Canis lupus familiaris: one gene and its partner. The protein of the gene in region 1 purifies or fractionates together with the protein of each later gene. This does not show direct contact. Links are inferred from orthologs where the notes say so. Each region holds a gene or a part of one and is shown in the gene's direction. Other genes may lie near its edges.

Region 1 (6,110 bases):
TAACCTGGCCAGAGTGTATTTTTCCCCCACATCTATGATCTGAACAAAAGGTTTATAACAGCTGTGATTTGGTTTCAAAAAGGAAAGAAAACATATAGAAACCTAATAGAAGATTGCTCGCTTTGGCAGCACATATAGAAACCTAATAGAAGAGGAAAGGAAGCTACACATAGACGAAGGTGATAGTAGGCAACAAATGCGAATAAGACAGAACTACATCAAGTCAGGTACCAGAACATCCAACCTCACTAGCTGAGGAAGCCCGCTGGAGACAGCCAGGCTGGAGTCCACACTGAGAGCCCTGGGTGGCGTGTCCTCCCCTGAGGTAAGACTTCTAACTGACCGTCTCCAAAGGGCTGTGTTTATAGGGCAAATGTCGGGGTCTGAAGCTAGGCATCTGTTCCCCTAGGAAGAGCGAGCTGCATTTTCACTGCAATATGTACTATATTTTCAAGGATCCTGGGCTAGGTGTGTCTGCCTACCCTCCTGGAACCCATCCTGGAGGGCCAGCCCTGCCTGCAGCAGGACAGGATGCAAGACAAGATTTGAGGCTCTATGTGTCCAGACCAGAAGGGCCGGTGCCGACCTGGAGGCCAGATGACATATTTTAAATAACCAGTCTCTCAAGATCATGCACACAGCCTGAGTCTCACAAACCACATCTTAGCCTGCCTGTGCATGTGCAGGTGCAGGTGGTCAGTCCCGCTGAGCAGATCACAGAAACCTCTATCCATACACAACAATCTATTCAGTAATTGTTTTTTTCTGTGAACTGACACATCCTATGGGGGGGGGGGGCTATTTCTCAATTATATTTTTTCTGTACCAAATTTTATGAACTTTTGTATGTTTGTAGTTCAAACTTTGCAAGTTTGGCTTTTGACCATTCCTGTTCCTATTTACTGTTCTACTCACTGAATATCATGGAATTTGTTGAACTCCTTCCTTCCTCTCTCTGTTCTCTTCACTAGGTTCTTTTTGTTGTTGTTGTTGTTTAGGGTTTTATTTATTTATTCATGAGAGACAGAGAGAAAGAGAGGCAGAGACACAGGCAGAGGGAGAAGCTCCATGCAGGGAGCCCAATGCAGGACTCCATCCCAGGACATGGGGATAATGCTCTGAGCGGGAGGCAGAAGCTGAACAGCTGAGCCACCCAGGCATCTCATCTCCATTAGGTTCTTAGTTTACCCAACTAATTGGGTGCGCTGGGTTTGAAGCCTTCTTCTGACCATTATGGAACAGAACTAACCTTACTTCGCTAGTTACACTTTCCATGCATTCTCAGGTCTATGCCAAATTTTAATAACACAAAACTGGAAGCAATGTAACACAATCTGCATCTGTATGGAATAACAAACTAATTTTTTAACACTTAAAAATTATGTAGTGCTAAGTTACAGTAATTTTTTATTTCAACTGCATGCTTGCTTGTTTTGAAAATAACTGTGGAGGCTGAGAAAATTAGGGCCATTCAAGTTTAACATTGGCACAAGCACACTGTAGCTTTGGTAGCAGTCTCAGACCACTGCGACCAGGCTACTGTGACCAGGTACTGAACTCTACCTTACCCTGGCTACAGAAAAAAACAAAAACAACAACAACAACAACAACAAATCGCGCCCTTATTAGAATAAGGAAGCAAGAGCTTGTGAGACCTCTTTACTGGAGACTCTCACACCCCCACCATTACTGAAAAATCCCACCTTCCTCCTAGACCAGCCCATAAAAACCCAGTTGGAGCCCACCTCGGGGTCCAAGTCCCTGCTCCGCTGTGTCGGGTGTACTTGGACCCAAGCTCGAGCTTGTTAATAAACCCTCATGTGTTTGCATCGGTGTCGGCTCCTTGGTGGTTTCTCGGATTCGCAACCTTGGGCACAATACAACCAACCAGATTGCTCCTCTCTCCAAATTTTTCCCCCTAAAGAAATGCTAACAAATGTCTGGGATCCTGGAGCTTTGGGTCTCATGGGACATACTCATTCCCTGCCTCCGGATTCCTCCGCTAGGGACGCGCGGGACAGTGGGCTGGAGGCCTGTTATGCCCGGGGACAGGACCGGTCCCGTGCGGGGCGGTTCACGCGAGGAGGCGCGTGCAGAGCGGATGCAGCAGGAGAGGGAACACTCGGGGAACCGCATGCAGAGAGGATGCGCCGGGAGAGGGCCCACGCGTCGAGGGGATGCACCGGGAGCGGGCCCAGGCGGGGCGGCGCGTGCAGAACCGGTGCACACGCGGGGGTCCCACGTCAGCCGTTTTCAGCCCGGCCCCAGCCCAGCCCCAGCCCCAGCCCCAGCCCCAGCCCCAGCCCCAGCCCAGCGTGGGCGGGGAGCTCGCAGCTCAGGTCCTAGCAGCTTACAAAAACACTTTTATAATGAAATCTTCGTAAAAAAAAATAGGGGCAGCCCGGCTGGCTCAGCGGTTTAGCGCCTGCCTTTGGCCCACGGCCGATCGGGTCCCACGTCGGGCTCCCTGCGTGGAGCCTGCTTCTCCCTCTGCCTCTCTCTCTCGCTCTCCCCTCCCCCTCCCGCCGTGTCTCTCATGAATAAATACATAAAGTCTTAAATAAAAATAAAACGGCTTCCCTCTCGTCCAGGTGTCATTTCCGGGCTAAGCGATAACCCTGGGAAGATTTCGGCCCGTGAGAAGGCGGGCAGGCGGGCCGGCCCGCGGACTGGAGAGCGACCCGCGGGAGGCGGGAGGCGGGAGGCGGGAGCACCGCTGCCAGGACCCCGGAGCGCGGCGCGCACCCCTGCCAGGACCTCGTGCGGAGGCGCGGCCGGCCGGGCTCCGCGAGCGTCAGGCACACCGCTGCCAGGACCCTGCGTGCGGCGCCCCTCCGTCACCGCCCGCGCGTCCCCGCCGCCGTCCGCGTCCCGGCCTGCGCCGCGCCGTGCCCTGCGGCCGCGCTCCCCAGCGCCCTTCTCGGTCCGTGCCCGCCGCCTCTCCGCCGGCCGCGCCCGCCCGCAGGGCCCCCGCCGCCGCCGCCCTGGCGCTCCCCGCGGGCCCAGCCGAGGCCGCCTGCGCCCTGTGCCAGCGCGCGCCCCGAGAGCCGGTGCGCGCCGACTGCGGCCACCGCTTCTGCCGGGCGTGCGTGGTGCGCTTTTGGGCCGAGGAGGACGGGCCCTTCCCGTGCCCCGAGTGCGCCGACGACTGCTGGCAGCGCGCGGTGGAGCCCGGCCGCCCGCCCCTCAGCCGCCGGCTGCTGGCGCTCGAGGAGGCGGCCGCGGCGCCCGCGCGCGACGGCCCGGCCTCCGAGGCGGCCCTGCAGCTGCTGTGCCGCGCCGACGGGGGCCCGCTGTGCGCCGCCTGCCGCATGGCCGCGGGGCCCGAGCCGCCCGAGTGGGAGCCGCGCTGGAGGAAGGCGCTGCGCGGCAAGGTGCGCGCGGGCGGGACCGGCCGCCGCCCCGGACAGGGCCCCGGACGGGGCCCCGTTTCCCTCTCCTCCGCCCTCAGACGGTGGCCCGCACCCCCTCCCCACCCCGGCCCCTGCCCCGCGCCCCCCGCCCCCCGCCCGGTGCTCTGACCCCCGGCATCCTCGGATGGCGCCCGGCCCCTCCTCCCCAGCCGTTCACCCCTCACCCTTAGATGTTGTCCTGTCCCCGCTCTCCAACCCGGGTCCGCGCCCCAGACTGCTCTGCTCCCTGTCCCCTGCCCTGCCTCCCAGTCCCCACCCTCCGCTGGCTTCCCTTCCCCCATTCCGAACCTGGGTCCCTGTCTCCAGATGGCATCCTGCCACCCGCCCCCAGGGTTCCCTGTCTCCCCATCCGGAACCCAGGCCCCTCTCCCGGAGGGACGGTATCCTGTCTCCCCTCTCAATCTTCAGAATGGTGTCCGATCCTCCGTCCAAGCCCCGCCCCGCCCCGCCCGGTCGGAAGGTGCCGGGTCCTCTCTCCAACCAGGGTCCCTTCCCCCAGGACGTGCTTTGTTCCCCCTCGCCCATCCCCGGACATCGCCCCCTCGCCTTATCCCGCACCCCTGAAGGGCGTTCTGTGCACGCTCCCGTCCCTGGACCATTCTCCTCCTCCACCTCGCACACGCAGCCCCTGTTCCATTTTCGGAGGGTTCTACCACTACCCCCGTCCGAGGTGGGCGTTCATCTGTTGGCCCCGCCTCCACGTGTGATGTCACCCCGCAGCAGCCCCACCCCCGCGGGCTGGACCGGGCGGCAAGCGTGGGCTGGCAGCTGCTGTGGTCCAGGTGCCCCCTCCCTTCACCCAGATGCTTCCCCACTCCATCCTGAAAGCTTGGCTGTTGCAGTCGACCAGTGCATGGGGCACCTGACCCTAGGTAGAAACCCACAGTGGAAGAGTCTGGCTGTAGCTGGGGGCCTGGGGACACCCCCTAAAGGGGGGTCACATTATGTCATTAAAGACAGCCTGGGCTCCCCTGAGCACCCTGGGGGTGGATTGGAGCTGGGCTATGCTCCTGCTGGGGGAACCCACAGGTGTAGGGTCTGGGGACCCTAGGTGACAGGAACGCTAGGGAGCCCACGGGATAGTCTCATATCCAGTTGCCTGATTGTATTCCTAGCAGGTGCATTTGTCAGGCTTCTTTCTGCAGAGAGCTTAATGGGCCTGCAGAGACCCCCCTCTGGTACCTGCAGCCCCTTTCTGTGGAGTCTGACAGGTCAAGATCACACACTGAGCCTGTCCCCAGACTGGCTGGGGGACCCTGGGCCTTCTGACTGTGTGTCCACCAGCGACCCGCGTGTCTTTTTAGGAGAACAAGGGGTCGGTGGAGATCATGAGAAAAGACCTGAACGATGCACGGGACCTGCATGGCCAGGCCGAGTCTGCTGCGGCCGTGTGGAAGGCAAGTGGCGTAGGCCTGGGGCGCACCCAAGGAGGGGATGTGGGTGTGGGCCCTGACCCGGATCGGTGGGGGTGCGGCTGGGTGCTGCACACTGCAGCAAACCCCCCTCCCCGGGGTGGGTAGCAGTGGGGCGGGAGGCCCCAGGGTGGATCCCGGGGCACAGGTGTCCCTGCCGTCTGCTTCCTGCCCTGCAGGGACATGTGATGGACCGCCGGAAGAAAGCCCTCACCGACTACAAGAAGCTGCGGGCCTTCTTTGCCGAGGAAGAGGCGCGTTTTCTGCAGGAGGCGGATAAAGACGAGGGGTCCTTGGAGGATGAGGACTCAGACCCGGCTGAGCGCTTTGGGTCCCTGCTGCAGGCTGTGTCGGAGCTGGAGCATAGGCACCGCAACCTGGGCCTCAGCATGCTGCTCCAGGTGGGCACCCCCTTACTGCAGACCCCAAGGGAGGGCGAGGAGGCAACTCACTAGGGCACAGGGCTTCCCACCAGCCAGGCAGCTCCTGCTCAAGGTTGGATGGGAGGACTGACTCTGGGACTCTGGCCTGTAAACACCCCTTGTCTATGGCAGGTCTGGCAGCCCCTGCCCTTTTGTCTTCAGGTCCCTGGGGTGCTGTTCCAATTCTGGAACGGCTGAGTAATCAGCTCCCAGGGGTGGAGTGGCTGCACTGAGGCTCCAGCCTGGGGGAGATGCCAGAAGCTGGGGGCGCCTCAAGGCCTGGGTCTCTCCTCCCCCCTCCTTCCCCTCCCCCTGCAGTGAGCTCCTGCCCCCTCTGCTGGCTCCAGGCCCCAGAAGCTGCACCCACCGTGGCCTGGCCCGCCATTGCTGCCTCCTGGACCCACAGCATCCTTCACCTTCGAGGGTCTGCTCCTAGGTGTACACGCAGGATGTGTACCACAGGTGCCCACCATGGGTTGTGCCAGAGAGTATCCCTGTTCCCTCTTCCTCTGGGCATTCATGTTCCCCAGGCTCCACACATGTGACCCTAGAGACCTATAGCCGGGGCACCGTTCACCCCAGTGTATCATGACTCTTCATAAAGCTCTTGTCGCTGCCGCCGAGTCTCATTGGCCTGGGGTCTCCGTGGCCGGCAGTGTCTTGGGCAGCCTGGGTCGTCCACCCCATTGAAAAGCCACCCACCATGGGGCCGTTCCACTGGATGTGCAGACCTGCTAGGGGTACATATGAGGTGTATGTGCAGGGAAAGAGGCTCAGGGCATCAGGGTGGGGAGGGCAGGCAGGCGGCTCAGACCTGCTTCTGGCTTGAGCCCCCAACAGCATGGGTCCCACAGAGCCTATAC
Region 2 (5,414 bases), on another chromosome or scaffold:
CCGAAGGTGGAGATGAGATCGTCATGGAGAGTCATCTGGGGAAAGGAATGGGGTCTTAATAGGGAAGAAAGAAAGGGGTTCTAGTCAAAAAGCACATATGGAAGGACATGGCATTGAGGTCCTGCTATAGCCTCACAGGGAGTGCAGGGCACTGCTCTACGGTACTTATCACTTTGCAGGAGGAGATGGGAGGATGGAGAGCAGATAGATGACCTAGGTCCCCAGAAGCCACTAGGAGAGTAGGTTGCTCATTAGCAGGAAGAGGAGTTACACAGACCCGTGGGACTGAATGATCCTGTGGGGAGGTGGGGATGGCAAGAGAACCAGAAAGCCAGACTCCATGATGTCTACAGTGTTCTCACTTCAATGGGAGAGAGGTGGGAATGGACTCGAAAGCGTGTGCCAGATGCTGGGTGGTGACCATGAGAGTGTGAGAAAACGGTGACCAAAGGACAAAAAAAAAAATTAGAGTGGTACAAAGGCCCATTCGAGGCCAAAGACCATTAATTTATAATAGTCTGAGTAGCTGTTTGATTTTTCTCTAGCATTTCTTAGCAGTCTCAGTATAGAAATGAAGTAAGCACGCTTTTAACATTCATTCAGGGCAGCAATTTGCTCTGTTGAGATGAAATTATGTGTGTATTTCAGGATGTGAAAGGGGCCTATTATGTGTATTTTACATGATTGGCTCAGAATTCAAGCTCATGGGGAAGGAGAAAAAGAACCAGGAATTGGCCCATGAAGGAAACAGAAATCAAAACCATAACCAGGGCACCTGGGTGGCTCAGGTCATGATCTTGGGGTCCTGGGATGGAGCCTGGTGTCCAGGCTCCCTGCGCAGAGAGTCTGCTTCTTCCTCTGCCTTTCCATTTTCCTCCTCATACTCAATCTCTCTCAAATAAATAAAATCCTATAAAAGAAACCCATGATGAGATACCACCTGTCAGAATGGCCCAAATCAACAACACAGGAAACAGCAGGGGTCAGCGAGAATTTGAAGAAAGAGGAACCTTCATGCACTGTTGGTGGGAATGCAAACTGGTGCAGCCACTCTGGAGAATAGTATGGAGGTTCCTCAGAAAGCTAAATATAAAAATACCCTATAATCTATCTTCCAATTCCACCTCTGGGTATTTCTCTGAAAACAACAACAACAACAACAAAAACCACTAATTCAAAAAGATACATGCACCCCTCTGTTCACTGCAGCATTTTGTACAATAACAAAGTTGTGGAGCAAACCTCAGTGTCCATTCAGCTGTCAATCACTTAACCAACTTAAGCGTCCATCAACAATTGAGTCGATAAAGATGTGTATATCTTGCCATTTGTGACAACATGGATGAACATATAGGGCATTATGCCCAGTGAGATAAGTCAGAGAAAGGCAAATACTATGTGATCTTACTTCATAAGTGGAATTGAAGGAAAAAAAACAACCAAATTTACAGAAAATGAACAGATTGGTGGTTGCCAGGGGGTCAAAAGGTTCATACTTTATACAGCATGGTGACTATAGTTAATGATTATAATTATTAGCTATAGTTAATAATACTGCATAATAAGTACATATTTAAAAGTTGTTAAGAGAATAAATGTTAAAAATCTTCATTCGAAGAAAAGACTTTTTGTAACTCTGTGTTGTGATGGATGGTAGCTAGACAGAGGATTGCTATGGTCATTTCACAGCGTGTACTAATACCAAATCCTTGCATTGTATACTTAAAACTGATGCAATGTTGTATGTCACTTAAACCACTATTTTATTTTTTTAATGGGAAAAAAAGAGAGCCAGTCGACTGGAATCGTAAGAGATGAAGTAGAGTCCCTGAGGCTGGAGGGCAGATGGAGTGGGATTGAGGTCATGCAGGAGCTGGGTGGGAGGAGAAAGCAGGGTGAGTGTGTGCAAGAGTTCTTGGGGGTGAAATCGCTACACCCATTCCAGAGTTGCCGGAGATGCAGGACCCTCAGGGGTAGATTGTTCCATAAGCTTGATGCACTGATAGTGATTGTGGTGCACACGGTTCAGGGAGGTGACACGCCGGTCTTCATCCCAGGCAGGCCTGCAGACTTAAGTCCCATGGTCTCAGCCAAGCAAGCGGGTGATTCGGATAGGTGGAGGTGAAGGTCCTTGAGATCCAGGTGGTCGAGGAGCTGCCATGTGACCTAGTAATTAATCTGTAAATAACAAGCTCTAACAGCATGTCTTACAACTTTTGTACTATTGAAATGGTAATGAGCATAAATGGTATTTTAAGATAATTTGCAACTACAGTAGGATATGAAAACGCTGTCCATGGATGCAAAGTAAGAGGATGACAAATACAAGTGTTGTCATCTGTGTTTGAAGAGAATGCTGAATTTCAGTTACAAGTTAGTAAAAATAAAAGTGAATTTTCTTCACCCAAATTCATAGACCCTCTGCATTCTGTCATGATCCTCCAGTTAAGAAACCCCAGTGTAAAGGACGGTGTATTCAGCAGGCCTAAAGCTGAGTGAAAAGCAGTGTTTTCTGCACGAGGCGGAATTGATGGTTTAGGAGTCGGGGTGCCTCAGGTGTGCCTTCCTGAACAGCCAGGCAGTGTCCTTAGCAATAAAAAGCCACATTTCTAGTCAAATCAGAAAAGCCAAGGGAGAAGGGAGCCTGTGCTCCCACAAACAAGAGGTTAATGGGAGTGTGAGAGGCACGGCAGGAGCTGTTGGGGTGCCTGGGTGGATGAGAAAGGTGAGCGAGGACAATGTCAGGATGGCCGGATGAGGTGATGTAGCTTCCAGGTCCTGGACACATTTGAGACTGAGGTCTGGGCCATTGGGACAGGCCCTTTAGAGCCATTTGGGTGGTAGTGACCCATGGTCTTTGCTGAGCAATCCAGGTAGAGTCCTGCTGAGGATACGTTGGATGGCTCTGAGCACAGCTGGGGATGGAGGAGTGTGAGGTCAGGTGCAGACACCGGACAGCCAGGGGCACTGGTGTGGTTATCGCTTATCACCTGGTGTGGTTTTTCCGACTTTGCCTTGACTCCTTGGTGCCGAACAAAAAATCAGCTGAGGGTTGGTGAGTAGAGAGAAACTATAAGAGGCATTCTTTTTTGAAAGACCACACTTCCCATCCTTTCCCATAGGACAGGTTTGGGAGGGTCTGCCAAAGTAAGAGAAATAACAAAATGAATTTAGGGAATCCTGTGTATCTGTTCAGGGGTTTGTAAGACAAGATAGACTTTGAATTTATGTGACTTAAGTGCAAAAGAACTTGGTGTTTCTGACCGGGTAACCTATTAGTTTTGACCAGAGTTTAACACCTGAACTCTGTACCTGGCACGGTCATGTGCATTTTATTTCTTTAAATTGAATGAAGAGTTTGTTAGCAGTAGACTGACCATGTTGCTGTTTGTTTTTTCTAGGAACTAGCTCTTCGTAGCCAGTTACCAACACTGGAGCAGGATGGCGGGACTCCCAATCCAGTGCCTTCCCCCGGGATGTCTCAGGAACTGAGGACGATGACGACCAGTGGCTCGGATCCCTTTCTCAACAGGTGGGTGAGAGCTGCTTGTGGCTTTCACGGGCGTCCCCTTGGGGCTGGTCCTGACCCCATGAGTAAGTAAGTACCCTTGGGGGCCAGGCACTGCACTGTGAATGACCCTCACCCATGACAAACCCTGTGAAGCTCCAGCATTCGAAGCTGGCTCCTGTGGGAGGACCTGGGCCATGGGGACTTATGGGGGACTTGTTCCCAGTCATGTGTTTGCTTCTGCCTGCGCTGTGAAGCAGCGCAGTGATGTAATGTGGCAGAGTCGTGAAGGAAGGCATGCAAGGGGGTCGTCCTCTGGAGCAGCCCCAGTGATGTGGGACCTGGTCTTCCTGCAGCAGCTCCTGAAGGCCACATGTTTTTAAGGACTGTAGCTTAAGGACGTGAAATGTACGGTGGTGCCTCCTGTAGACACACTGCACAACAGGCAGGGGCTTGCAGGTACTCTTCAGTGGCCTCATGGAGCTGTGGTGAAAGCTGCTCACCCACAGGTCCTACTCCTAGGTTTGATGACCATTCATCCGTTTAGGTTGTAAAATGTTCATGGAGTTTCAGTTTGTTAACATATGGAACAAATACTTTCTTGTCTGTACTTTTTGGTTTTCGGATTTTTTTTAACTAGTTTTAAACAATGCACCTTTAAAAACATTTAAAGGTCCTTTGGTTTAGGAAAGCTGTTCTCTTACGCTTTCAGTTCTCAGAAGATGAATTGCAAACTTCATGATCTTAGAAAAACAAAATTTTGGGACACCTGGGTGGCTCAGCAGTTAAGCACCTGCCTTCGGCCCAGGGCGTGATCCTGGAGTCCCAGGATCGAGTCCCACGTCAGCCTCCCTACATGGAGCCTGCTTCTCTCTCTATGTCTGTGCCTCTCTCTCTCTCTCTTTCTCTCTCTCTCTCTCATGAATAAATAAATAAAATCTTAAACAAAAAAAAAGAAATTTCTTTTATCCTACCAAGACATGCAGTCCAGTCCAGTAGAATTTCCATTTGCTCAGTCTTAGACTTGGGGTTGGGGGCCTGGTTTTTTAGGTTTGATCTTGAAGACTGTCTAAGATGTGTTCGGAGTTTGTGGTTCTGCCAAACCTGAGTGTATGTACACGAGGCTCTGAACATAGACAACAGTGAATCAGGAAAGGTCAGAGCCACATGACTTTTCCCCCCCACAAGGAAGCTTTCAGCTTGGTGTGATTGCAATGTCCATCTTGTTGGGCCTCGTGTGGCCCGAGGGTAGAGGCAGACTATAGAACGTGGATATAGGCTGGGCATCCTTTGTGCAAATTCTTCCTGAGAATGTCTCATGAACACTAGGCTGTAGTTTGAGATTCTGTCTCTTGGTAAAGGTCACTGGGTGTCAGGTGATCGGCATTACTAGGACCAAGGGCAGAATCCTTTTTCCAGGCTGTATGGTACTCCCTGTCCTAAACCCTCATCTGACGTTCCATTTCTCTCTTGGATTCAAGCATATCCTGGAGACTTCACACTGACCACCAGGTTGACTCTCAGCCCTGGCACAGAGTCCCCCTGCCCCCCAGAATCCCAAGATCCTGCTTTCCCATGCTCCTTCTTTGTTCTCAAAGCACTTTGCTCACATAGCGCCTGAGTATAGTTCATTAACACACATGTTCATCTGTCTCCTCGACATTATGAGTCTCTCAGAAACCATCATCTGTAGGTTTTTGTAGTTGTCTCTCTGTCCTCAGAGCCTGAGGACATGCCTGCTCTGTGTGTTTGTGGGAGGCATGGGCCGGGGCCCTGGGCAGAGAAGCAGCCCATGCTTGTCTCGTGGCTCCAAAAGAGTCCCGCACAACCATGTGAGCTCAGCCTCCCCACAGCAGCGTCTCCGGTGTCCGTCTGTGCTCTACTCTTCACAGCAGGAGTGCAGTGT

What was found. Proteins that work in one complex are often made in the same cells at the same time.
Region 2: the proteins of RNF187 (region 1) and YAP1 purify together in Homo sapiens (affinity purification with western blotting; 3 studies listed by BioGRID, with this or other methods). This does not show direct contact. The link is inferred for Canis lupus familiaris from reciprocal best matches to the Homo sapiens genes RNF187 and YAP1.

The regions. Positions count from the first base shown.
Region 1 is NC_049235.1:239,235-245,344, reverse strand, and holds RNF187 (E3 ubiquitin-protein ligase RNF187), read left to right. Parts: upstream 1-2,177; coding exon 2,178-2,221; intron 2,222-2,644; coding exon 2,645-3,374; intron 3,375-4,717; coding exon 4,718-4,810; intron 4,811-5,004; coding exon 5,005-5,226; intron 5,227-5,565; coding exon 5,566-5,568; 3' UTR 5,569-5,865; downstream 5,866-6,110.
Region 2 is NC_049226.1:29,539,812-29,545,225, reverse strand, and holds part of YAP1 (transcriptional coactivator YAP1), read left to right. Parts: intron 1-3,401; coding exon 3,402-3,532; intron 3,533-5,414. UniProt on the Homo sapiens protein: Transcriptional regulator with dual roles as a coactivator and corepressor. Critical downstream regulatory target in the Hippo signaling pathway, crucial for organ size control and tumor suppression by restricting proliferation and promoting apoptosis.